2 linked regions of the Macaca fascicularis genome follow. The protein of the gene in region 2 purifies or fractionates together with the protein of the main gene of each other region. This does not show direct contact. Links are inferred from orthologs where the notes say so. Each region holds a gene or a part of one and is shown on either strand. Other genes may lie near its edges. The genes, in order: ZNHIT2 and ECD.

Region 1 (12,156 bases), on a different chromosome or scaffold from region 2:
GTCTCCCCGGCCCCTGCTTGGAACTTGGGTGACCCCCCCCAACACCTGCTGTCCCCAAGCTGCATCCCTGTGTACCTGTCTGCAGGTGTCGGTGCTGACTGGCATCATCAAGATCAGCCTGAAGACGCTGCTGGAGTGTGTGCGGCTGCGCACCTTTGGGCGCTTCGGGCTGCAGCAGGTGCAAGTGGACTGCCACTTTCTGCAGCTGTACCTGTGGCGTTTTGTGGCCGACGAAGAACTGGTGCACTTGCTGCTAGACGAAGTGGTGGCCTCGGCTGCCCTGCGCTGCCCAGACCCTGTGCCCATGGAGCCCAGTGTGGTCGAGGTCATCTGCGAGCGCGGCTAGGCGCAGCCGCTGCCATGCACAGGCCTGTCCCGGCGCCCCATGGCACCCAGGCTCTGGTCTCCGCCCGGTGGTCCCCGCAGGCAGGTGTCAGGACCTACCTAATAAACATGTGTGGCCTCCTCCTCTCGCTTGCTGGGCGGGCCTTTCCGAGGGCGGGGTTTTGAAGCTGAGGCTTCTGAGGCGCCCGCGTCGGGTCCGCCCCTGAGTGCCGATTGGCTGGTGTGCTGGGCCCAGGATGGGCAGGGGGCGGGTCCATTAAAAAACCCTGGGACAAGAGCGGTCCTTGTCTGCACTCGGTGTCCAGGCAGGTGCAGGCGCCGCGGGGCCGGATCCTCCGCGCGGACAAGTCCATCTCCTGGGAAATGGGGCGGACTGTGTTTCCTTGACCGACTATTGTGAGCGCCCTCTCTCCGGCGGAGCGGAGACCATGGCCCCTCCTGAGGGCCCCCGGGCCCCGCTGGAATTCGGAGGGCCCCTGGGTAATGGGGCAGCGAGAAGGGACCTGGGGCAAAGGCTGAGCGAAGGAGAGCTGGAGGGGGTGAACTAAGAGCGGAGACAGGATCTGAGGATGGAAGGTTTTGCGGGTGTCCGAGGCAGAGGGACCCGGGGGTTTGCAGCGAAGGTGTCTGGAGAGGGAGAGCTGAGCAGGGGTCAGTTCTGGGGGCTGCAGAACGGGGATTTATGGTGTCGACTGGGAGCAGGAGGAGGGTCTTCGAGGGGGGAGCGGGGGACCAAGATGGACGCCTGGGAAGGGAACTGGGAGGCAGCGGGGTGCCTGAGGGCTGAGGAGGGGTGCAGAGGCACACTCTGGGAATGCCGAAAGGGTCCCGCAGAGACGTCAGCGCCCGTGGGGGACGGGGCGGGAGCTGGGGCGCTGGGGGCGGACGCCCGATGTGATGGCCCATCCCGCAGGCGCCGCGGCTCTGCTGCTGCTGCTGCCCGCCACCATGTTCCACCTGCTCCTGGCGGCCCGTTCGGGCCCCGCGCGCCTGCTGGGTCCACCCGCGTCCCTGCCTGGGCTGGAGGCGCTGTGGAGCCCACGGGCGCTGCTGCTGTGGCTCGCCTGGCTCGGCCTGCAGGCGGCGCTCTACCTACTGCCGGCGCGCAAGGTGCGGGCGCCGCTCGCGCACGCTCGGGGGAGGGAGTCGGAGGGGCTCGGCGAGGGAGAGGACGCCCCGGGCCTTATCAGAGCCCCCTTGGACCCGCAGGTGGCTGAGGGGCAGGAATTGAAGGACAAGAGTCGCCTGCGCTATCCGATTAACGGTGCCTGGGGGACGGGCCCTCGCGCTGGAGTTAAGCGGCCGGGGGTGGAGCTCCAGCCCTAGCGGGGAGGTCCACGGAGATTGGCCCCCACCCCAGGCTCCTTTGTATGCCTCTTTGTGAGCCCTAGGACAGACGCCGGGGGCTCGCCCTAAGCCCCTCGTCCCCACACCCTTACCCCATTTACTGCTACACTGTGCACCACAGCAGTGGCTGGGGTGATCCTCTGAAGGCCAGGGTGGCAGCCTAATGCTTGGGGCAGGGTCTGCGGCCCCCCTGAGTTTTGGGCTCTGTGTGTGTTCGCAGGGTGGGGATGTGGAGGCGTGCAGCCCCAGGGCTCACTGTGTGCTGTGGTTTAGGCTTCCAGGCCCTGGTGCTGACAGCCCTGTTGGTGGGGCTGGGGGTGTCAGCGGGGCTGCCTCTGGGGGCGCTCCCGGAAATGCTCCTGCCTTTGGCGTTTGTCGCCACCCTCACCGCTTTCATCTTCAGCCTCTTTCTCTACATGAAGGCGCAGGTAGCCCCAGTTTCGGCCCTGGCACCTGGGGGGATCTCAGGTGAGAGGGGTTCTAGGGGTGGAGATGGAGGCAGATCGGGGCGTCTGCCTGTACATTCACTCTCCAATATTCTCCAGGCAATCCGATTTACGACTTTTTTCTGGGACGGGAGCTCAACCCTCGTATCTGTTTCTTCGACTTCAAATATTTCTGTGAACTGCGACCTGGCCTCATCGGCTGGGTATGTTGGGCTTGACTGAGCTGGCCTAAGGCCAGGGGGAGGGTTAGGGTGGGTGAGCAGCGCTTGGGCAGGGCAGGGCCAAAACTGTGCAGACACGAATCATTAATCATTCCTATTCCACAAACATTTGTTAAATCCACCTGTGCCCTAGGCACTGCTCTAGGTACTGGGAGACAAAAATAAAGTTAGAGGCAAGAAAAACATCTTTGCCGCAGAGAGCCTACATTCTGGTGGGAAAGACTGACAAAAAATAAGTAAAGTATATATAGCATGTCAGGGATAACATCAGGAGAGCACGTGCAATTCTCAACAGCAGTCAAGCACAAAATCTATTTCCAGGGAGTGACCGCATGCTGCTTGGTGGTCAAAGCAGTGCACAACCTGAAATTGATCACTGGGTTTAGCAACCTACCCGTCACTGGTGGCCTTGACAACATTCCAACTGTGATCTCTGGTTCTGTGGCCAAGATGACCCAAAGAGACTCTTGGGCAAGGCCTCTCCTGTTGCCTTGGAAATTATCTTACCCCAGGCAGGAGTGCCAAGTGCCCACCCTGGATCTGGGCCCTGGCCTGACAACACTTTCTGAGGCCACTTTCTCATCTGTGAAATGGGATAAAATTAAAGCTTTCTCCTAAGATTACTGGGAAGATTAGAAGAGGTAATCTGTATGACAGAACAGAGCTCAGGGTAAAATGCAGGCACCCAGCACAGGGTTGCTCTGGCTAGCCACCACTGAGCACGTACCACTTGCTAGGGACGCTGTGGAGGACTTCAAACACGATGATGCCATTGAGTCACGACAGGCCCATGATTATTCCCATTTTTCACACAGGGGTGGGGAAAGTAGGCTATGGAGAGGGCAAGCAACCTGCCCAGGTGATGCTGAGATTTGAAACCAGGTCTGTTTGAGCTCTGAAGCCTCAGCCCCCAACTGCTCCCAGGGCTGCTCTCTGCAAGAGCTTAGGACACTCAAGGCAAGAAACAACAAGCTGCGGACACCTCCCTGTCTAAGTCTCTGTCCTTGGGTCCAAGGCCTGGATCCACTTAACACAGGGTTGGAGTGTAACTGACAGCTGAGAAGGGCAGAGGTTAGCCACTGCTCTGCCCAGGGCTGCCACCTCTGTGGAGACGATTGCCCTGTTCCCCCTCCCCCAGGTCCTCATCAACCTGGCCCTGTTGGTGAAGGAGGCAGAACTTCGGGGCAGTCCCTCACTGGCCATGTGGCTGGTTAATGGCTTCCAGTTACTCTATGTGGGTGATGCCCTCTGGCATGAGGTGAGGCTGGACTGGACAAGGGTGGGTATCTGAGGGCCGCATGGGGACTAAGCCAGTGTGTCTGGGTCTTGTCCTTGCAGGAGGCCATCCTCACCACCATGGATATCACACATGACGGGTTTGGCTTCATGCTGGCATTTGGGGACATAGCCTGGGTGCCCTTCACCTACAGCCTGCAAGCCCAGTTCCTGCTGCGCCACCCGCAGCCCCTGGGGTTGCCCATGGCTTCCGCCATCTGCCTCATCAATGGTCAGTCAGGAAGGGGCAGCAGGCTGGGCCCATCTTTCCCCTCTCCTTTTCATTCATGCTCTGTTTACATGCACACCACATAGGTGCTAACTGCCAGGGTCCTCTCTAAAGCCAGGGGTGGGGTCCTGGGTGTCCAGGCAGAGTCTGGGCTGCAGACAGATTGGGCAGATGGTCAGGGTCAGGCAGGAGGCTGCAACCCTTGACCCTGACCACTTTTTCACACTCTCTCACCAGCTATTGGTTACTACATCTTCCGTGGGGCGAATTCCCAGAAAAACACTTTCCGAAAGAATCCTTCTGACCCCAGAGTGGCTGGTGAGCTGGGTCTCTAGGGCCATGGGTGAGGTGGGGCCGCTGGGTTTCCTGGGAACTCCCCACCTGCTATCTTTCTCCAGGGCTTGAGACCATCTCTACAGCCACAGGGCGGAAACTGCTGGTGTCTGGGTGGTGGGGTATGGTCCGCCATCCCAACTACCTTGGAGACCTCATCATGGCTCTGGCTTGGTCCTTGCCCTGTGGTGAGTGGCCCATGTGGATAGGGGCAGGAACATATGAGGGGAAGGGGTGGCTCAGCGACCACAGGATGCCTACTTTGGGTATGCACCAGTGAGAGTAGTCAGAGAGCTGGGATGGACCCAGTGTGTGGCTGGGGCACACCTCTGTGCCAACCTAGTACGGTATGCCTAGATGCAGACCCTGGAGCTTTTGCTGCTGAGCCCTGATGCCCACATGAGCCATTAGGTGTGGAAATGTTTGCGAACTGGGGGGTGGAGGGGGCTGGCAGGGTGGTCACAGAGCCTCCTTCTCTACAGGGGTGTCACACCTGCTGCCCTACTTCTACCTCCTCTACTTCACCGCGCTGCTGGTGCACCGTGAGGCCCGGGATGAGCGGCAGTGCCTGCAGAAGTATGGCCTGGCATGGCAGGAGTACTGCCGGCGTGTGCCTTACCGCATCGTGCCCTACATCTACTGAAGCGGCTCCACCACCCCAGGTGGGGACATATGCCCACTCATCCACCAGCACACCCAAGACCAGGAGCCTGGACACACTTGGGACTCAAGGGCTTGTACCCCACCCAGCCCTGAGGATGAACAGCCTCAGAGAAGAGGTGGTTTAGAGCAAGGAAAAAAATGAAACCAGTGACCAAAATCGGAGATGCTCTTCCTCCTTTGGATAAACATTGGGAACCATTGGTGCACTTCTCTCCCCTAGGACTGGCTGGGTCAGCACTGATCAGGGAGAAGCTGAGCAGTGGCTTGTGGGCCCAGGACTCTGGGGGCCTGGTAGGACAATAACTATCCTTCAGAAACAGGCAACAGGGCTGACCACTCACAGCTTTATTAATGACCAGGGTCCCCAGTTCAGCCAGGGAGCTCCTCAATGAGAGTCCTTGGGGCAGGTGGCACGGGGCCTCCCCAAAGCCGCTCCAGCTCCCCAGTGAGGGCGGCCACCTCCTCGGCTGCCACAGCATGGGCTTGGTGAGCCCTGGCGCAATCTAGAGCCAGGGGTGTGAGGGCCGCCTCATTTTCATTGGTCCAGGCCAGGAGGAATTGGCACTTTTTCCGGGCCCGGTAAAGATGATCTCGCTCTTCTCTAAGCACAGCCTGTTTCCGGGCACGGCCCAGGGTCTTTGCCAGGTCTCCCAGTGCTGCCAGCGTGTAGCCTTTCTGGTTGGTCGGGCCCTCACCCAGCAGGATGCGAGCGACCTCGTGCATAGCCCCTCGTGTGCCCAGGGGCCCAGGCGGGTGTTCGCCTGCTTCCAGCACGTGGGCTGCGGCCTGCAGGGCTTCTTCCGCAGAGGCGAAGACTTGCTGGGCACCCAGGGCTCCGGAAACGCCGAGCAGTGTAGCACAGAAGTCAGAGAGCAGTGCGTCGTCACCGCCGTGATACAGGGCGAGAGTATGCGCGTAGGCGAACAGCACATTGGGCAGCTGGAAGCGCACGAGCGGCGAGACTGGGCCGCGGCTCAGGCTGACCAGCGTGGGGATGCGGGTGGGTATGGCGGGCGTGCAGGCCCCCGGGACATCTCCAAGAACCAGCTCGGCAGCCGCGAGCTCCGCGGCGAAGGCATCGTTCATAGATTCCGGCGGGGTCCTCGCAAGGGCGGGCTCCAGCCCCGCGGCATCACTGCCCGGGACATCATCCAGCTCCTCCAGAAGCCGCCACGGTCCGGCTCCGCGCTTCCACCACCACGGCCGCCATGGAGGAAGCAGCCGCCCGGCCTCACCACGGCTCAGCAGCCGCTCGAAGGCAGTTTTTTCGGCCGGCGCCAGCCGCTCCCACAGTCCCGAGAGGCCGCCGGGCGCCGGGCCGGGGCTAAGGCCTGTTTCCCCAGGCTCGTCCTCGGTATCGCGTTGCTGACGCAGCCGGCGTAGGGCGCTTGCCAGGCGGCTGGGCGAGGCGCTGCGGCCGCGGAGCTCTCCCAGCACCTGGTCACGGTAGAAGTTTTCTGCGCAGGTGCCATGCGTCCGGTAGCAGCGCAGCGAGCAATAGGGCGCATTACAGCGAGGGCAGGTGTAACGCGCGGGCTGGGCCTCCCCCGCCGGGCAGAAACCACAAGGCCCGACCGGCTCCATAGCAACCGGCACCGCGATCTACCTGCGAACGCACGCCGGCGATAGTTCCAAACTTCCGGGGCTTATTCAATTACTTCCGGCTCACCGCGGGGTCGACGACGGTCTGTCGTTTCGCAAAGCTCCCGAGGATTCTGAGCAATTTCCGCCCACGCCGGAAAGCCGAGCCCCACCCCTTTCCCTAGTAGGGTGAGAGCAGGCCCAGACGCCGGGCGTCAGGTACGAGCCCCGCCCTGTGCGATGACGCAAGGAGCGGAAAAATGGGTCTGGCGAGCGCTCCGCCGGTGCCACCTCTCCCCCTAGCGGTCACACCAAAACGTGGCCCGATCATCTAAAGAGAAAACCCTCTCTCTTTAGCTCTATAATGCGCTGTGGCAGAAATCCACTTTTACTAAACACCTACCCTGGGCCACTAATTGTGCCAAGCCTCAGAAAGGCGATGCATCCCTGCGCTGTACACAGACAAATAAAATGCACTAGAGGACACAGACGAATAAAAGGGCAGTTGGGATCGGGTGCGGTGGCTCTCACGCCGATAATCCCAGCACTTTGGGAGGCCAAGGCGGGCAGATGACCTGAGGTCAGAAGTTTGACCACGGCCTGACCAACATGGAGAAACCCCATCTCTACTAATACAAAATTAGCCGGGCGTGAGGGACGGGTGCCTGTAGTCCCAGCTACTCCGGAGGCTGAGGCAGGAGAATCATTTGAACCCAGGAGGTGGAGGTTGCAGTGAGCTGAGATCGCGCCACCGCCCTCCAGCCTGGGAGCCTGGGCCACAGAGAGGAACTCCACCTCAAAAAAACAAATAAAAAGCAGTATTTAAGAAATATTTGAGGCCGGGCGCGGTGGCTCAAGCCTGTAATCCCAGCACTTTGGGAGGCCGAGATGGGCGGATCATGAGGTCAGGAGATGGAGACCATCCTGGCTAATACGGTGAAACCCCGTCTCTACTAAAAAATACAAAAAACTAGCCGGGCGAAGTGGCGGGTGCCTGTAGTCCCAGCTACTTGGGAGGCTGAGGCAGGAGAATGGCGTGAACCCGAGAGGAGGAGCTTGCAGTGAGCTGAGATCCGGCCACTGCACTCCAGCCTGGGTGACAGAGCGAGACTCCGTCTCAAAAAAAAAAAAAAAAAAAAAAAAAAAAAGAAATATTTGAGCTCCTATTTTTCCTCCAAAACTGACTCTTCATTAAGTATCTTATTAAATACCACTATTCATCCATCTCATTAAGTGCAGGCCCCATTCTAGGTGCCAAGAACACAATGCACATCAAAGGGAGTTGGGGGTCCCTGTTCTAACAGAGCTCAGTCTTATGGTGGAGTGGAGGTGTGATGAACCAAACTGTGAGTGTTCTTTGCATCCCTACTACTACTACTGGTGGTCTAAGCTTCCTGACCCCTCACGTGGATGACAACACATTGTGTTTTTCCTTTCTTGCCAGCCCTCCAGAAAAACCTGCCAGATAAATTAGATCACAAGTCAGATCAGATCCTTCTCTTACTCAAAACCCTTCTGCGACCCTCCATTGCACTTGGACTCAAACCCAAACTTCTCTCCATGGCTGACAAGGCCTTGCAGGATCTGCTCCCACCCCTAGACATCACCTCTTCCCCATCTTCATACAGTCCTCTTGGCTTAAAATATTCCCCTACCTGATCACTTGATTTATTCATCTCAGGTCTCACACATGTCATTTAAACACGACCTCTCAGTTGGGCACAGTGGCTGACACCTGTACTCTCAGTACTTTGGGAGGCCAAGGTGGGCGGATCACTTGAGCCCAGTTCAAGACCAGCCTGGGCAACACAGCAACAAAACCCCGTCTCTGCAAGAAGTACAAAAACTTAGCCAGGAGTGGTGGTGCATGCCTGCAGTCCTCAGCTACTTGGGAGGCTGAGTAGGATCACCTGGGCCCAGGACTTGGAGGCTGCAGTGAGCCATGACTATGCGACTGCACTCCAGCCTGGATGAGAGACCTTGACTCAAAAAGAAAAAAGGCCGGGTGCTGTGGCTCACACCTGTAATCCCAGCACTTTGGGAGGCCAAGGCGGGTGATCACAATGTCAAGAGATCGAGACCATCCCGGCCAACATAGGGAAAACCCATCTCTACTAAAAATACAAAAAATTAGCTAAGCGTGGTGGCACATGCCTGTAGTCCCAGCTACTCTGGGGGCTGAGGCAGAAGAATGGTGCGAACCCAGGAGGTTGGAGACTCCGTCTCAATAAAAGATAAAGAAAAAAGAAAAACAAAAAAGAGGCCCTCTCTGGGATGCTATTGTATCTGTCCACATCCTCCCCCTTTCTAAACTGCTAGAAAGCAGAAAGCATGTCTTTAACACCACGAGACGAAAATAGCCAAGATTCACACACTACATCCTTTAACCTTCACAGCAGCTCTGGAGATGGCAGAGATTAAATTAGTAGTTAGTTCAAAGGCCAGCCACCCAGTAAATGGATTAGGAAAAAAAAGGTCCAAACTCAGGCATTCAAAGTCCACAGCCCAAGGGTTTTACCCTGTTGGATGCTATTTCCCAAGAACTGGCAGGTCCAGAAACTTTAGCTGAATGAGTAAGTGGGGTTCAGAAGTGCTGGGAGGCTCAGTTGCTAGAAGGCAACCCTGAATCAGCCCCAGAGATAATCCAACTTTTGGGAACACCAAAACATCACTATATCCAATCACAGATGTGATTAGGTTACCAAGTCTAGCCAGGCAATCATAGAGGTACAAACGAGACCATGCACCCAACGTAATATTTATTTCTAAAACCGAGGCAGACCAGATTCCTGCCCTGGACTCTAAGGCCACAGCTGGTATCAAGTTCAGGGAATGACCAGGTTCACCTTCTATACAAACCTCTTCCCCCACCCATCCCTCCCACTGCTGCCTCCATAACAAACGTCTCACCACAATGATTCCTGCTACCTTCTCTGTTTAGAAGATGAAAAAGAATGACTTGAGGGGACTGATCAAGTTACTTAGGATAGGGAATAACTCCAATTCTACACCTGAAGCCCCAGGATCTGTGGCTACTGTTTCTTCACAGAAAATTCCTCTTGCAGTTTACCATTTCTTCCCCTATACCAACGGCTTTTCTGCCTCACTGTTCTTACAGGGGACACAGCACCAACCTCTCCCCAAGGCCTTGCAAATAAAGATGAAGCAATGCGATGACTGAACTAAGTGGCTTTTTTATTAGAGAAAGCCGCAATTACAAAGGACTTAAGAATTGGCATTGGGGCCCTTCTTCTTGCCAAAGGTGGGCACAACGTTGACAAAGCGCCGGTTGTACTGCATCCGGCGCTTAGCCCGACCGGTCTTCTTCTTCTTCTTCTCCTGTTTGGCCACCTGAAGAAGGGAGGGTTAATCAGGCCCTGGTTTCTGTCTTCCACACCTAGCATCCTTTCCCTCAGGCTCATCTCCAGGGAGGGAGAAGGCAAACCGGGTAAGAACCCAGGGACTTGATTTAGCTGTGACAGGAAAAGACAAAGTCCAAACACCATGACCACTAATACTCTCACTCACCTTAGGAGTCTGACCTCTCACTTTCCCAGCACGGGCCAGGGAACCATGGACTTTACCTGTAATGGGAAAGGAAGGAACCAGCAGGTAAGAGCAAGAAGGTGCCACCCAGCAGAACCCCTCTTTCCTCAATTCAAGCCTTTAAAGAGAAGCTGGGCCCAACAGGTAATGAGAACAAAGCTGCAGATATCTGACCTTGAAATCTTAAGTTTCATTTCAGGATTTTCCAGCTTCTAACTTTCTAGAGCACTTTGGGGGCCCCGGTCTGACCTAATTTTAGTGGGGAAGCTGATAACCAGACTCGGATCTCGTGATGTGACTGAAACACAACTACACTCTGGCTCAGTCTCCCATGGACGTCTGTGTTCAACATGAGGGATGTAAACAGGAAGAATCACTCTGAACTGAGGGCAGTGAGAAGTACTCTATTACCATAGGTGTGACACTCAGCTGCCAGGACTATGCACCCCCTACCCACTAGACGCTTACCAGTAGTTCAAAAAACATTCTTCTCTCACTCACCTCCAAGCATGCGGCCTGCTACTTCCAGGGTAGTCAGGGCCTCCACCCCGCACTGGCCCAGAGTGGCCTCATCCTCCAAGGGGGTGCCTGCCAGGAGCACGACTTGATCTTCCGAGGCAATGCCCTCCAGTGAAGCTACATGAGCCTACAGGGAAAGATAAGGCTCGTAAGTGTTCCCTCGGGCCGCGAGGGTGAAGAGCACAAGAAAATGGAACCCAGGGCGCACCAAGCAGCCTTACCTTGATTTGGGCGACCGTTTCCTGGCCGGTCACCTCGAGGGTGTGTAGCTCCTGGGCGCGGACAAAAAGCTGCATGTTGACGACTGAGTAAAGAAATACGGCTTGTAAGAGAAGCGAAGAAATGCTCTGGGATAAAGGAGGTTTGGGAATGGAAAGTGGTCCAGAAACGATAGCGATGGGATGGAGGTGGTCGCGGCGGCTCACGTGGGGAAGGCCAGGCCTCCCGAAGAATTCGGATAGGGACTGGAGCAGGGCCACAGAGCCGGCCTGGTTCTTCAGTTTCCCCCGCGCCCTCTGATCCCGCAGCCAATCTGCTACAAGCCCTTCGGATCCAGCCAAGGCCCTATTCTTACCTGAACCGCGGTCCCAGCTGCCGCTACCGCGAAGATGGAGTCGAGAAAGAGGAAGAAGCGAGGGCGCGTCTGTACTGACCGCGAGCTGCGTATCACGTCACTACTGAGCGACCGCGCGGGTCTCTGATATTTGTACCGCCCAAGGCGACCCTAGCTCCGCCCCTTTACGCTCGCACAGGCGAGCCTGCCAGGGGCAGGCAGCGCGCGCAGGAGGGGGCGGAACCAGACCGTTGCGTGCACAGACGGCTGGCGTACGAGGTCAAGATGGCCGTTACCATGTTCCGGGCTGCGCTTCGGGGATGGAGAACCGGTGTCCAGCGGGGCTGCGGGCTACGGCTGTTGGTGAGAGCGCTGAGCGAGGAGCTGAGGGCATCGCGTGGGTGTGAGGCTCAGTGTTAATCATTGTTAACCCCGAAAACTAAGGCATTCCTACTTGGGGCCTTAGTTTTGTCGTTTTCGATCGGAAGAGCTTGTCTCCCGATCGAGTGTAGATACAGAAACGAGAGAGAAAGTGGTAGACTGCGGTGCTCTTTGGGAGCACTTAACACAGTGCCTGGCAGTGTCTATGTAAGCCAAAACGTTTCAGATAAGGGGCGGGATCCTAGCATGAGTGTGCGTAGGGAATTATGATTGCCTTAATTCTTTTTTTCTTTTTTTTTTTTTTGAGACAGAGTCTCGTTCTGTTGCGCAGGCTGGAGTGCAGTGGCGCGATCTCGGCTTACTGCCAGCTCCGCCTCCCGGGTTCACGCCATCCTCCTGCCTCAACCTCCTGAGTAGCTGGGACTACAGGCGCCCGCCACCACGCTAGGCTAATTTTTTTGTATTTTTAGTAGAGATGGGTTTCACCGTGTTAGCCAGGATGGTCTCGATCTCCTGACCTCGCGATCCGCCCGCCTCGGCCTCCCGAAGTGCTGGGATTACAGGCGTGAGCCACCGCGCCCGGCTGATTGCCTTAATTGTTAAGGCAATCATAAGATTAAACACCACTATATCCAATCACAGATGTGATTAGGTGAGCAAGGCCAGCCAGGCAATCATGAAGGTACAAACAAGGTTACGCTGCCAATGTAATAATAA
Region 2 (12,479 bases):
GTCTCTTCAATAAATGGTACTGGGAAAACTGATACCCATATGCAGAAGAATGAAACTAGACCCACTACCTCCCACCATATACAAAAATCAAGTCAAAATGGATTAGAGACTTAAATCTAAGCCCTAAAACTATGAAACTACTAAAAGGAAATATTGGGGAAACTCTCTAGGACATTGGAGTGGGCAAAGATTTCCTGAGTAATACCCCACAAACAGAGGCAACCAAAACAAAAATGGACAAATGGGAGCACATCAAGTTAAAAAGCTTCTACACAGCAAAGGAATTAATCGACAAAGTGAAGAGAGAACCCACAGAATGGGAGAACATATTTGCAAATTACCCATCTGACAAGGAATTAATAACCAAAATATATAAGGAGCTCAAACAACTCTCTAGGAAGCAGTCTAATAATTGATTAAAAATTGGACAAAAGCTCTGAATAGACATTTCTCAAAAAAGACATACAAATGTCAAACAGGTTTATGAAAAAGTTCTCAATATCATTGATCATCAGAGAAATGCAAGTCAAAGCTACAGTAAGATAGCATCTCACCCCAGTTAAAATGGATGTTATCCATAAGACAGGCAATAACAAATGCTGGCAAGGATTTGGAGAAAACACTGTTGATGAGAATGTAAATTAGTGCAGTCACTATGGAGAACAGTTTTGGAGATTCCTCAAGAAACTAAAAATAGAGCTACTATGTGATCCAGCAATCCCACAGCTGGGTGTTTACCCAAAAGAAAGGAAATCAGTATATTAAAGAGATATCTGCACTCCCATGTTTATTGCAGCACTATTCTCAGTAGCCAAGATTTGGAAGCAACCTGTGTCCATCAACAGATAAATGAATGAAGAAAATGTGGTACATACACACAGTGGAGTACTTTTCAGCCATTAAAAAGAAAAAATGAGATTCTGTTATTTGTAACAACATGGATGGAACTGGAGATCATTATGTTAAGTGAAATAAGGCTGGCACAGAAAGATAAACTTTAAATGTTCTCACTAATTTGTTGGAGCTAAAAATGAAAACAGTTGAACTTATGGAGATAGCAACTAGAAGGATGGTTACCAGAGGCTGGGAAGGGTTGCAGAGGGTTGGTGGGGGAGTGGGATGGTTAAAGCGTACAAAAAAATAGAGCAAATGAAAACTAGTATTTGGTAGCACAACAGGGTAACTGTAGTAAATAATATTTAATTGTACATTTTAAAATAACTAAAAGTTCAGATGAGAGCACGTCCTAGCTACAAAAAAAATTTTTTTAATAAAAATAACTAAAAGAGTATAATTAGATTGTTTGTAACACAAAGGATAAATGCTTAAGGCGATGGATATCTCATTTACCTTGAGGTGCTTATAATGCATTTTATACCTGTATCAAAATATCTCATGTACCCCACAAATACATACACCTACTATGTACTCTTCAAAATTAAAAAAGAAAAAAAAAAAACAGCACTGTGGGAGGCCGAGGCAGGCGGATCACAAGGTCAGGAGTTCGAGACCAGCCTGGCCAATATGGTAAAACCCCATTCCTACTAAAAATACAAAAATTAGCCTGGCGTGGTAGCAGGCACCTACAGTCCCAGCTACTCGGGAGGCTGGGGCAAGAGAATCGCTTGAACCTGGGAGGCAGAGGTTGCAGTGAGCTGAGATCTCACCACTGCACTCCAGCCTGGGTGACAGAGCGAGACTCCATCTCAGGAAAAAAAAAAAAAAAACAGAAAAGAAAGATATACCTACCATCCCATGAGACTTGAAAAAGGGGCAAATTTAGGACAGAGGTAAGATGACAGGACACGAATGTTTTGTAGTTCTCTACACCATACAATGTTCATAAAAGAGAGAAATGTACATTCTGCAGAGCAAGATAGATTATGCTTTAGAGTTTAAGTAACAAAATTTTAAAGCAGGGAGAGATTTTAGAGATGGTAGATAACTTATCCTAAATTAAAGAAAAAAACCCAGAAAGAGAAAGTGAAGTGTCCACAGTGGCACAGCTAATTAGTGGCAGAACTGGGGTTTTTGATATAGTATGTAAACAGTGGATATTAGTGCAGTGTTTCTCGAAATATGTTACACATACCACTGCTAGTACAAGGGCAAACATTAAAAATTTCATTCTTTACTTCCAAAATAGGAAAAATATAAAAAAGATTTTATTCTTACATACGTATTAATTGGGGAATGTGATACTGGATTTCTATTCACTGTATTATATCAAGGTTTCCTTGTAACGTAATTTTAAAGATAAAGTTTTAAGTGTAAAGTGTCACTAAAAATAATATTAGGCCAGGTGCAGTGGCTCATGCCTGTAATCCCAGCACTTTGGGAGACCAAGGCGGAAGAACTGCTTGAGCTCAGGAGTTCTAGACCAGCCTGGGCAACATGGCAAAACCTTGCTTCTACTGAAAATACACAAAAAAATTAGCTGGGCATGGTGGCACACACCTGTGGTCCCAGCTACTTGGGAGGCTGAGGTAGGAGGATGGCTTGAGCCTAAGAGGTGGAGGTTGCAGTGAGCTGTGATCATGCCACTGCACTCCAGCCTGGGCAACAAGAGTGAAACTCCAACTCAAATAAATAAATAAATGAAGTTTAAAACATTAAATAAATATTACTGTAGGTGGTGTGTGGTCAAGGCAAAAACCATGATGATGGTATGTGGCTAACTAAATTTTATTTATTATTTATTTATTTATTTATTTATTTATTTATTTATTTATTTTAGATGGAGTCTTGCTCTGTCACCCAAGCTGGAGTGCAATGGCATGATCTCGGCTCATTGCAACCTCTGCTTCCTAGGTTCAAGTGATTCTCCTGCTTTAGCCTCCTGAGTAGCTAGGATCACAGGTGCCTGCCGCCACACCCAGCTAATTTTTGTATTTTTAGTAGAGACGAGGTTTCACCGTGTCAACCAGGCTGGTCTGAAACTCCTGACCTCCAATGATCTGCCTGCCTCAGCCTCCCAAAGTGCTAGGATTACATGCATGAACCACTGTGCCCGGCCTAACTAAATTTTAGAAAACAGTGTTCATAGAGTCATCTAAAAGAGTTCAGATGTTACTTCTGCATTGTTCTATGTGGTTTATATTTTGGAACTTTAAATGTAGTTTTCAAAGAAGAATGGAAGAAACCATGAAGCTTGCTACAATGGAAGACACAGTGGAGTACTGCCTGTTCCTGATACCAGATGAATCAAGGGACTCAGATAAACACGAAGAGGTTCTTCAGAAGTATATTGAGAGAATAATGACTCGGTTTGCACCTATGCTGGTCCCCTACATCTGGCAGAATCAGCCTTTCAATCTCAAATATAAACCTGGGAAAGGTAAGGCTCTTTTACTTGTGTGGATTAGTGTGACTTTTAATGTTATCCTGACAACAGTGATGTGTATGTGTAATAGTCCACACTTCATTCAGTGTTGGCAGGAAGAGATTAATGCACTAAACTTTTTAGGTAAGTAATACTTGTCTATAATCAGTTAGCCATAAAGCTTTGTTTTTAAAAAAAATCATATTAATGAAAACTTTCTAAATCTGCCTTAGGAATTAGCATATACTAAACATTATTAAACTCATGGCTATTCTTTTGAACTTTAGTTGCTATACTATGCATAATGTATCTAAGTATCTATACTAAACAGTTTCAGGTATCTGGCTTTAATTATGGTTCCTTTTTTGCTGTTACTCAGTATTCCTTATGTTGATGTGTTGAGTAGGCTGCCTTGTTTCATATAGCCATTTTGGGGAGGATCTGAGTGGCTCTGCCCGGCTTATAAAGATAAATAATTGGGCTTTATGGCTAATATTTGCCACTTATAAGCATTTTGAGGTTTCTTCATTGCTTCCCTGTGTTGTTGGTGCTTGAGATCTGACCTCTGGCAAAATACGGCACTCTGTCCTGTTATGAGAAAAACCCAGAATTAAAGTAGGAGGGAGCGGAGAGACCAAAGAATCACTCGAACAGGTCTGTCTTAGCAAGTAGATGAGTTTATTAGGACTTACAGACAGGACACTCCTGGGCAGCATCAGGACAGCTCCAGAAATCTGCCCCACCTCCCATCTTTAAGCTGCTTGTAAGCTAATTTTTTGGCTCTTTGCCTACTGCGTATATGCAATGACACTGTTTTCCTTGGTATGTTCCCAGCTATGCCCTGCAATGTTTGGGTTCTCAGGACCTGCTCCTCTGCTGGGCATGATGGCTTTGGCTTGCCAGCTGGCCTTCGAAGTTTAAGCAGCAGACATATACCCTTAAGTAGCCTGGTGGGGAACTGGTCACACTACAGTTATGTCATTTCTTATAGTTTTATGAAAATAAATCATGGATAGGTGACCAAGTCTCTCTTTACACAGTGACTTATGTGAGGTCTTATTTAGGATCAGGAGCCTGGCATCTTGTGATACCATCACAAGATACCCCCATGTATACATCACAAGTATACATCACTGTGATACTCTCAGTTTAGTGCTTATCTCTTATCTTTTGGCTAGCAATTGCTACATATCTTCCCTACTGTTAATTTTATTGAACTCTTATTCATTGACATACATATGATATTTATTGACAAGAACACTGTCACATTGGTGCAGCACATCTAAAACCAACCCTTTCTCTGTCTCTAGAAAACCATTTTTACTGTTTTCTTATCTTGTTTAATGGCATTGCCATCCACCCAGTTATCCAAGCTAGTCAGTAATTCAAAATCATAATCAGTTCCTCACTTCACCATGTTCAGTCAGATGCTAAATCCTGAATGCTTCTAAAATATGACCCCTTCTCTACATCTATTTGGCTTCAATGTAGGCCCTCTTTATCTCTACATTTAAAAAACAACAACAGCCTCCTAACTTACCTCTCTGGTTCCTGTCTTTCTAGTTCCTCACACTGTTGCCAATTACGTTTGTAAAACAAACTTGATTGTGTCACTCTCCTGCTTAATATCCTTCAGTAGTTCCCATTGCTTCAAGATGAAATTTAAATCGAAGTCTAATATAGACAAAAACAGTTACTTTAATTGTATTCTCTAGTTGAAGAAACTTGAGATCTGGGGTGGGGAGAAGAAGAGTTGGTTGGGCTGTTCTTCTACCTATTGTTTGCCATGGCAACTCTTGAGACACTCTGTAATGCACTTGTTTGACCTTCATTCTGTTAATGTGGGATATTACTGTACATTGATTTTCATGTGTTGAACCATCCTTGCATCTCAGGAATAAATCCTACTTGGTCATGGTGAATAATCTATTTAATGTGCTGTTGAATTCAGATTGCTGATATTTTGTTAAGAATTTCTGCATTGATATTCATCAAGGATATTGATCTACAGTTTTCTTATATTGTCTTTGTCTGGCTTTGGTGTTAGGGTAATGCTGGCCTCAGAAGGGATTTGGGAATTCCCTCCCCTTTATTTTTTTTGGAAGATTTTGAGGATTGATGTCAAATTCTTTAAATGTTTGGAAGAGGTCCGCAGTGAAGCCAGCTTTTCTTTGTTAGGAGCTTTTGGATTATTGATTCAATCTCCTTACTAGTTATAGATCTGTTCAGATTTTTGTATTTCTCATGATCCAGTCTTGACAGGTTGTGTATTTTTAGGAACTTGTCGATTTCTTCTACATTATCCAACTTACTGGTATACCATTGTTCATAGAATTATATCTTTCTTGTTTCTATGACATAAGTTGTACTGTCTCCTCTTTGATTTCTGATTTTAGTTTTTTGAGTATTTGCTCTTATTCCTGGTTAATCAAGTTAATAGTTTGTCAATCTTTTCAAAAAAACCCAACTCAGTTGTTTTGTTTTTCTGTTATTTTTTCTGGTCTCTATTTTATTTATCTCTACTGTAATGTTTATTATTTTCCGTATGCTAGGTTTGGGTTTAGTTTTTATTTTTTGTTTTGTTTTGGTTTTTTTGAGGTATAGGTTGTTGATTTGAGGTCTTTCACACCTACAAACTTCCTTTTTAGCACTGCTTTCACTGAATTCCTTAAAGTTTTGGTATGATGTGCATTCATTTTCATTCGTCCCAAGATATTTTCTAATTTCCCTGTGCTTTATTCCAAGAGTGTGTTGTTTAGTTTCCATGTATTTGTGAATAGTGCACATGTTTGAAAACTTGTGCTCCATCCAAATCTAGCGTCGTGGTATTCCCAGAATACTCTATACATACATACTTTGTACAGCATGCCTTTGTGCCTTTGTACATGCTTTTCTATTTTTCTGGAAAGCTCACCTCTTGTCATTCCTCCAGGCAAGCATAGCACAGATATCCCCTCCTTTATACTCACATAGGCCTTACTGCATACCCCTGTTCTAGAGTTCATTATCTTGTTTTGAGATCATTTGGTTGTCTTGTTTTACCCTGAGCTCCTCAGGAGTAGGCTTCTTCTTCAGGAGTGCAACCCCTGCTCCCTAGTACTTAGAGCAATCAGTCAATGAATGTTTATTCAGTTGAATGATTATGTGCATTTTATTTGCAGTAACAAATTTATCTGTTTACATGGTTGCTTTTCTCTTGTTTTTAGGAAGTGTTCCTGCTCATATGTTTGGCGTGACAAAGTTTGGGGATAATATTGAGGATGAATGGTTTATTGTTTATGTAATAAAGCAGATCACAAAGGAATTTCCAGAGTTAGTAGCAAGGTATTGTAGTTATTTTAATTATTCTAAAAGAATTCTATTACTGAAACAGTGTGACTACATTTTTATATATTTAGTAATTTATTTTTCTCCTGTAGTCTGCTGGAAATTGTACAGATTTGAAAAGTATCTGTGCTTTTTTTTTTTTTCTGAGACAGAGTCTTGCTCTGTCGCCCAGGCTAGAGTGCAGTGGTGTGATCTTGGCTCACTGCAGCCTCCACCTTCCGGGTTCAAGCGATTCTCCTGCCTCAGCCTCTCAAGTAGCTGGGATTACAGGCGCGTGCCACCATGCCTGGCTAATTTTGTGTTTTTAGTACAGACAAGGTTTTACCATGTTGGCCGGGCTGGTCTTAAACTCCTGACCTCAGGTGATCAACCCACCTCGGCCTCCCAAAGTGCTGGGATTACAGGCATAAGCCACCATGCCCAGCCTTATCTGTATTTTCTTTCTCTTCTCTTGTGACTTCCTTTTCTTGAGAAAGAATTAAGGTAGTATCAAAGAGTTCAACTTCCAAAAGATTTCAAATAAAACCTACTTATTTTAGGTTTTCTTTTTAAAATTCTAATTATGAAAAAACAAATACATGTGGTAAACAAAATTCAGATGATACAAAGGGTTCTACTGCTCTGCTTCCCAGAAGTAATCACCATTAAATTCCTTATGAATCTTTGAAAAATAAAATTCCATTCATACACATACATACATAGTTCACATATTTTTAAATGTGTATTCCTGTACTAGACCATAGCTATATTTTTTGAGAACTCATACACAGAAACAATTTAAAGAGAAGTCAGTGAACAATCGTATAGGAAGCTAAGTAGGTAACACCGTTAAAAATGGGACCCGAGTTTTCTGTAATTACCACGTATTGCCAGCAGAGGGCGTTCCGCCCACTTATATTTTATCCTAGTTTTCCTAGTCAGCACCCAAATTCTGATCTTTTTTTACCCAACCAACCTCTTTCCCAACAGAACAAAAAAGAGGGGGGAAAAAAAAACCTTTGAAAACTTAGTATTTAAATTTTAAGTATACATTAAAGTAGAGAGAATGAACCCACATGTTCCCATTATCCAGCTTCAACAATTACCAACTCATGGTCATCATTATTTGATCTGTGGCTGTCATTTGATCCTTAAATACTTCAGGATGTAAATCTAAGTGATAACTCATTTTATCTTTATCTTTAAATACATTTATTTAAAATTTTAAAATTTTTAAGTTTACTTATTATTTATTTAGTTTTTTAAAGACAGGGTCTCACTGTTTTGCCTGGGCTGGACTTGAACTCCTGGGCTCAAGCCATCCTCCTGCTTCAGTCGCCCGAGTAGCTGGTACTACAGGCACATGCCACTGTGCTTTATTTTATTTCATTTTATTTTATTTTTTTGAGACAGCGTCTCACTCTGTTGCCCATACTGGACTGCAGTGGAACAATCTCGGCTCACTGCAACCTCTGCCTCCTGGGCTCAAGCGATTCTCATACCTCATCCTCCTGAGTAGCTGGGGCTATAGGCGTGCACTACCACACCTGGCTAATTTTTGTATTTTTTGTAGAGACAAGTTTTCACCATGTTGACCAGGCTGGTCTCAACCTCCTGACCTCAAGTGATCCACCCGCCTCAGCCTCCCAAAGTGCTGGGATTACAAGTGTGAACCACTGCATGAAGGCTATTTTTAAAATTGACAAATAAAAATTGTGTATATTTATTATGTATAACATGTTGTCTTGAAATACATATATATTGGCCGGGCACGGTGCCTCACACCTGTAATCCCAGCACTTTGGGAGGCCGAGGCGGGAGGATCACGAGGTCAGGAGATCGAGACCATCCTGGCTAACAACAACAAAAAAAAATACAAAAAACTAGCCGGGCGAGGTGGCGGGCGCCTGTAGTCCCAGCTACTCGGGAGGCTGAGGCAGGAGAATGGCATAAACCCGGGAGGCGGAGCTTGCAGTGAGCTGAGATCTGGCCACTGCACTCCAGCCTGGGCAACAGAGCGAGACTCCCGTCTCAAAAAAAAAAAAGAAATATATATATATATTGTAGGATGGCTGAATTGAGCTCATAACATACATTACTTCACATACTTATTGTTTTGTGTATGGTGAGAACATTTAAAATCTACTGCCTTAGCAAGTTTCAAGAACACAATACATTGTAGGCCTGGGGCGGTGGCTCACGCCTGTAATCCCAACACTTTGGGAGGTTGAAGCAGAAGCATCACATGAGATCAGAAGTTCCAGACGAGCCTGGCCAACATGGTGAAACCCCATCTCTACTAAAAATACAAAAAATTAGCCAGGTGTGGTGGCCCATACCTGTGGTCCCAGCAACTCGGGAGGCTGAGGCAGGGGAATCGCTTGAGCCCAGGAAGTAGAGGTTGCAGTGAGTGTGATTGCACCACTAATTCCAGCCTGGACGACAGGGTGAGACTCTGTCTCAAAAATAAAATAAAATAATAAAAATAGAAGTATAGAGCTAGAACGGTATATAACAGTATAGAAAATATGCTATGTCTTGTGTAAAACAGGGAGAAAATATAAATATATATTTATATAGCTAGATTATGTGTAAGCAAACTCTAGAAGGATATACAAGAAACAGCAGTGATGCGTGTAGGGTTGAGCAGATAGGGACAAAAGTAGGAGGAAAACTTTTTCATTTTGCAACTTTTTTTTTTTTTTTTTTTTTTTTAGACGGAGTTTTGCTCTTGTTGCCCAGGCTGGAGTGCAATGGTGCGATGTTGGCTCACCGCAACCTCCGCCTCCCAGGTTCAAGCAATTCTCCTGCCTCAGCCTCCCGAGTAAGTGAGATTACAGGCATGCGCCACCATGCCTGGCTGATTTTTTTTCGTATTTTTAGTAGAGACGGGATTTCTTCATGTTGGTCAAGCTGGTCTTGAACTCCTGACCTTAGGTGATCCGCCCACCTTGGCCTCCCAAAGTGCTGGGATTACAGGCGTGAGCCACCATGCCTGGCCATGTAAATTTTAATATATTTTTAAAAAAATTTAACCATATGAATGTATAACCTATTTTTAAAAGTAAAATTTTAAAAAGTGTTGCAGGCTGGGCATGGTGGCTCACACCTGTAACCCCAGCACTTTGGGAGGCTGAGGCGAGCGGATCACTTGAGGTCAGGAGTTTGAGACCAGCCTGGGCAACATGGCAAAACCCTGTCTCTACTAAAAATACAAAAATTAGCTGGGCATGGTGGTGGGCACTTGTAATCCCAGCTATTCGGGAGGCTGCGGGAGGCTAAGGCAGGAGAATCGCCTGAACACAGGAGGTGGAGGTTGCAGTGAGCCGAGATCACACCACTGCACTCTAGCCTGGGTGACAGAGCGAGACTCCGTCTCAAAAATAAGAAAAAAAGTAATGCAAATGAGTCAGAAATAATTATCTTTTCAGGCCCAAATAACACCTCCTACATGAAGGCTTTTCTAATCTCAGCTATATTTTTTTTTGCTTTTGGAACCCTATAGTACTTTGTATATTTTCATATTTTTGTCTAATATTTCTTTATGTAAATTGCTTATCTTCTCTCCTTATCTCTACCTTCAACTCCTCCTTACAATCTTATTGTCTCCTTCAGTGCTTAATGTTATCTTAAACATTTTGCTTTCTTATAGCCATCTGCACATAGTACCTATTCAAATATTTACTAAGATGAAGAGGAAAATGTATTAGAATAAAACTGTTCTGGTTACTAGCAGATATGTGCTTTTTGAATGCAAAATTGGAAATTTTCTTGCATTAGGATTGAAGACAATGATGGTGAATTCTTGTTAATAGAAGCTGCTGACTTTCTCCCTAAATGGTTGGATCCTGATAATAGCACCAATAGGGTAAGTATATACAAGTTTAGAAAATTTGTAGAGATGAAATCATGCTGCATTACAGTCATATGTACCTACAGTTTGCCAGTGCCCACTATGAAAATTAAAATGTACCATTTGCAGGTATTTTTCCACCATGGAGAATTGTGTATTATTCCTGCACCAAGAAAACCTGGAGCGGAATCTTGGTTACCCACCACACCCCCAACAATTCCACAAGCATTGAATATAATCGCAGCACATCCAGAAAAAATACTTGCTTCAGAATCTATACGAGCTGCTGTGAGTAGGCGCATCAGAGGGTAAGAAAAATATCACTTACATTGCTAATTAAGGAACCTTTTGGTTTCGTGTAGTTCAGTCTTTCTTTGATTTTTGCTTGTTTTCCTTAAAGCTCTGTTGGAGTTGATCAGTCTTTCTTTGACTGTAAAATATCTTTCACCTAGATTAATGCTAATTTTCATTTTGTCTTCATTCTTCTTTATGGAATAGACTAATACATTAAACTTAGAGATTTTAAACGGGGGCAATAGATACATCTTTAAATTCCCATTCAGAAGTGTTACAATCTTGTCCCAATATTTTTGCATTTATACACCTTAGATATTGTGGCTAAGTATTAGCTATATCCATGGGTAAAAAATTTGAGACCTTTAAAAATAGAAACTTCCTGGACCTGGAGCGGTGGCTCACGCCTGTAATCCCAGCACTTTGGGAGGCTAAGTGGAGGGCAGATCATGAGATCAGGAGTTCAAGACCAGCCTGGCCAACATAATGAAATCCCATCTCTACTAAAAATACAAAAAAAAAAAGGCGGGACGTGATAGCAGGTTCCTGTAATCCCAGCTACTTTGGAGGCTGAGGCAAAGAGAATCGCTTGAACTCGGGAGGCGGAGGTTGCAGTGAGCTAAGATCGCACCACTAGACTCCGTCTCAAAAAAAAAAATAAATAAATAAAAAGTAGAAACCTAATGGAGCCCAAACAAGGTGCTCAGGTTTTTTCTGTTGTTTTGGGTCTATGTATGGGATTCTTTGACCTATGTCAGAATTCTTTGACCTATGTCAGCTTTATTTAAAGCTGAAGTTTTATTCAGAAAAGAAAGTCTTAGCTTAATAACATATTAGTTCATCCATTCAAATTTGGGTGCCTATTAAATAGTAAGCACCGTTCAGGTATTAACAATACTAAAAATCTTTTTGGCCGGGTGCAGTGGCTCACGCCTGTAATCCCACCACTTTGGGAGGCCAAGGTGGGTGGATCACGAGGTCAAGAGATCGAGACCATCCTGGCCAACATGGTGAAACGCCATCTCTACTAAAAATACAAAAAATTAGCCGGGCATGGTGGCAGGCCCCTGTAGTCCCAGCTACTGGAGAGGCTGAGGCAAGAGAATCACTTGAACCCAGGAGGTGGAGGTTGCAGGGAGGCGGAGGTTGCAGTGAGCCGAGGTTGCACCACTGCATTCCAGCCTGGCGACAGAGTAAGACTCTGTCTCAAAAATAATAATAAATAAAAAATAAAAATCTCTTTTAGCTTCAGCATACTTTGCACCATTATTTTAGAAAAATAAACTCTGATTTTATGTTTATTCCAAAGTATAATTGGTTTTTTTGTTTTGTTTTGTTTTGTTTTGCTTTTGGGGTGGAATTTTGCTCTTGTCACCCAGGCTGGAGTGCAGTGGTGTGATCTCGGCTCACTGCAACCTCCGCCTCCCGGGTTCACGCAATTCTCCTGCGTCAGCCTCCTGAGTAGCTGGGACTACAGGCATGTCCCACCACACCCAGCCAATTTTTTATATTTTTAGTAGAGACGGGGTTTCACCATGTTAGCCAGGATGGTCTCAATCTCTTGACCTAGTGATCCACCCGCCTCGGCCTCCCAAAGTTGTTTTGTTTTTATTGAGCTACCATAATCCCTTTTCTTTATTTTCCATTTCTTCCTACTTTTTTCTTTCCCTCTCTTCTTTCTTATAGTATTAAGTGTATATACAG

What was found.
Region 1: the proteins of ECD (region 2) and ZNHIT2 purify together in Homo sapiens (affinity purification with mass spectrometry; 3 studies listed by BioGRID and IntAct, counting the BioPlex papers as one, with this or other methods). This does not show direct contact. The link is inferred for Macaca fascicularis from reciprocal best matches to the Homo sapiens genes ECD and ZNHIT2.

The regions. Positions count from the first base shown.
Region 1 is NC_088388.1:9,247,955-9,260,110, reverse strand, and holds ZNHIT2 (zinc finger HIT domain-containing protein 2), read right to left. Parts: upstream 6,512-12,156; 5' UTR 6,444-6,511; coding exon 5,229-6,443; 3' UTR 5,190-5,228; downstream 1-5,189. Other genes in the region: VPS51 (vacuolar protein sorting-associated protein 51 homolog), read left to right, coding at 86-346; delta(14)-sterol reductase TM7SF2, read left to right, coding at 361-430, 655-741, 1,259-1,455, 1,555-1,609, 1,966-2,160, 2,238-2,341, 3,498-3,617, 3,698-3,866 and 3 more; FAU (ubiquitin-like FUBI-ribosomal protein eS30 fusion protein), read right to left, coding at 9,666-9,791, 9,969-10,024, 10,488-10,632, 10,727-10,801; MRPL49 (large ribosomal subunit protein mL49), read left to right, coding at 11,344-11,421. UniProt on the Homo sapiens protein: May act as a bridging factor mediating the interaction between the R2TP/Prefoldin-like (R2TP/PFDL) complex and U5 small nuclear ribonucleoprotein (U5 snRNP).
Region 2 is NC_088383.1:73,215,830-73,228,308, forward strand, and holds part of ECD (protein ecdysoneless homolog), read left to right. Parts: intron 1-2,737; 5' UTR 2,738-3,066; coding exon 3,067-3,337; intron 3,338-6,528; coding exon 6,529-6,646; intron 6,647-10,408; coding exon 10,409-10,496; intron 10,497-10,610; coding exon 10,611-10,789; intron 10,790-12,479. UniProt on the Homo sapiens protein: Regulator of p53/TP53 stability and function. Inhibits MDM2-mediated degradation of p53/TP53 possibly by cooperating in part with TXNIP. May be involved transcriptional regulation. In vitro has intrinsic transactivation activity enhanced by EP300.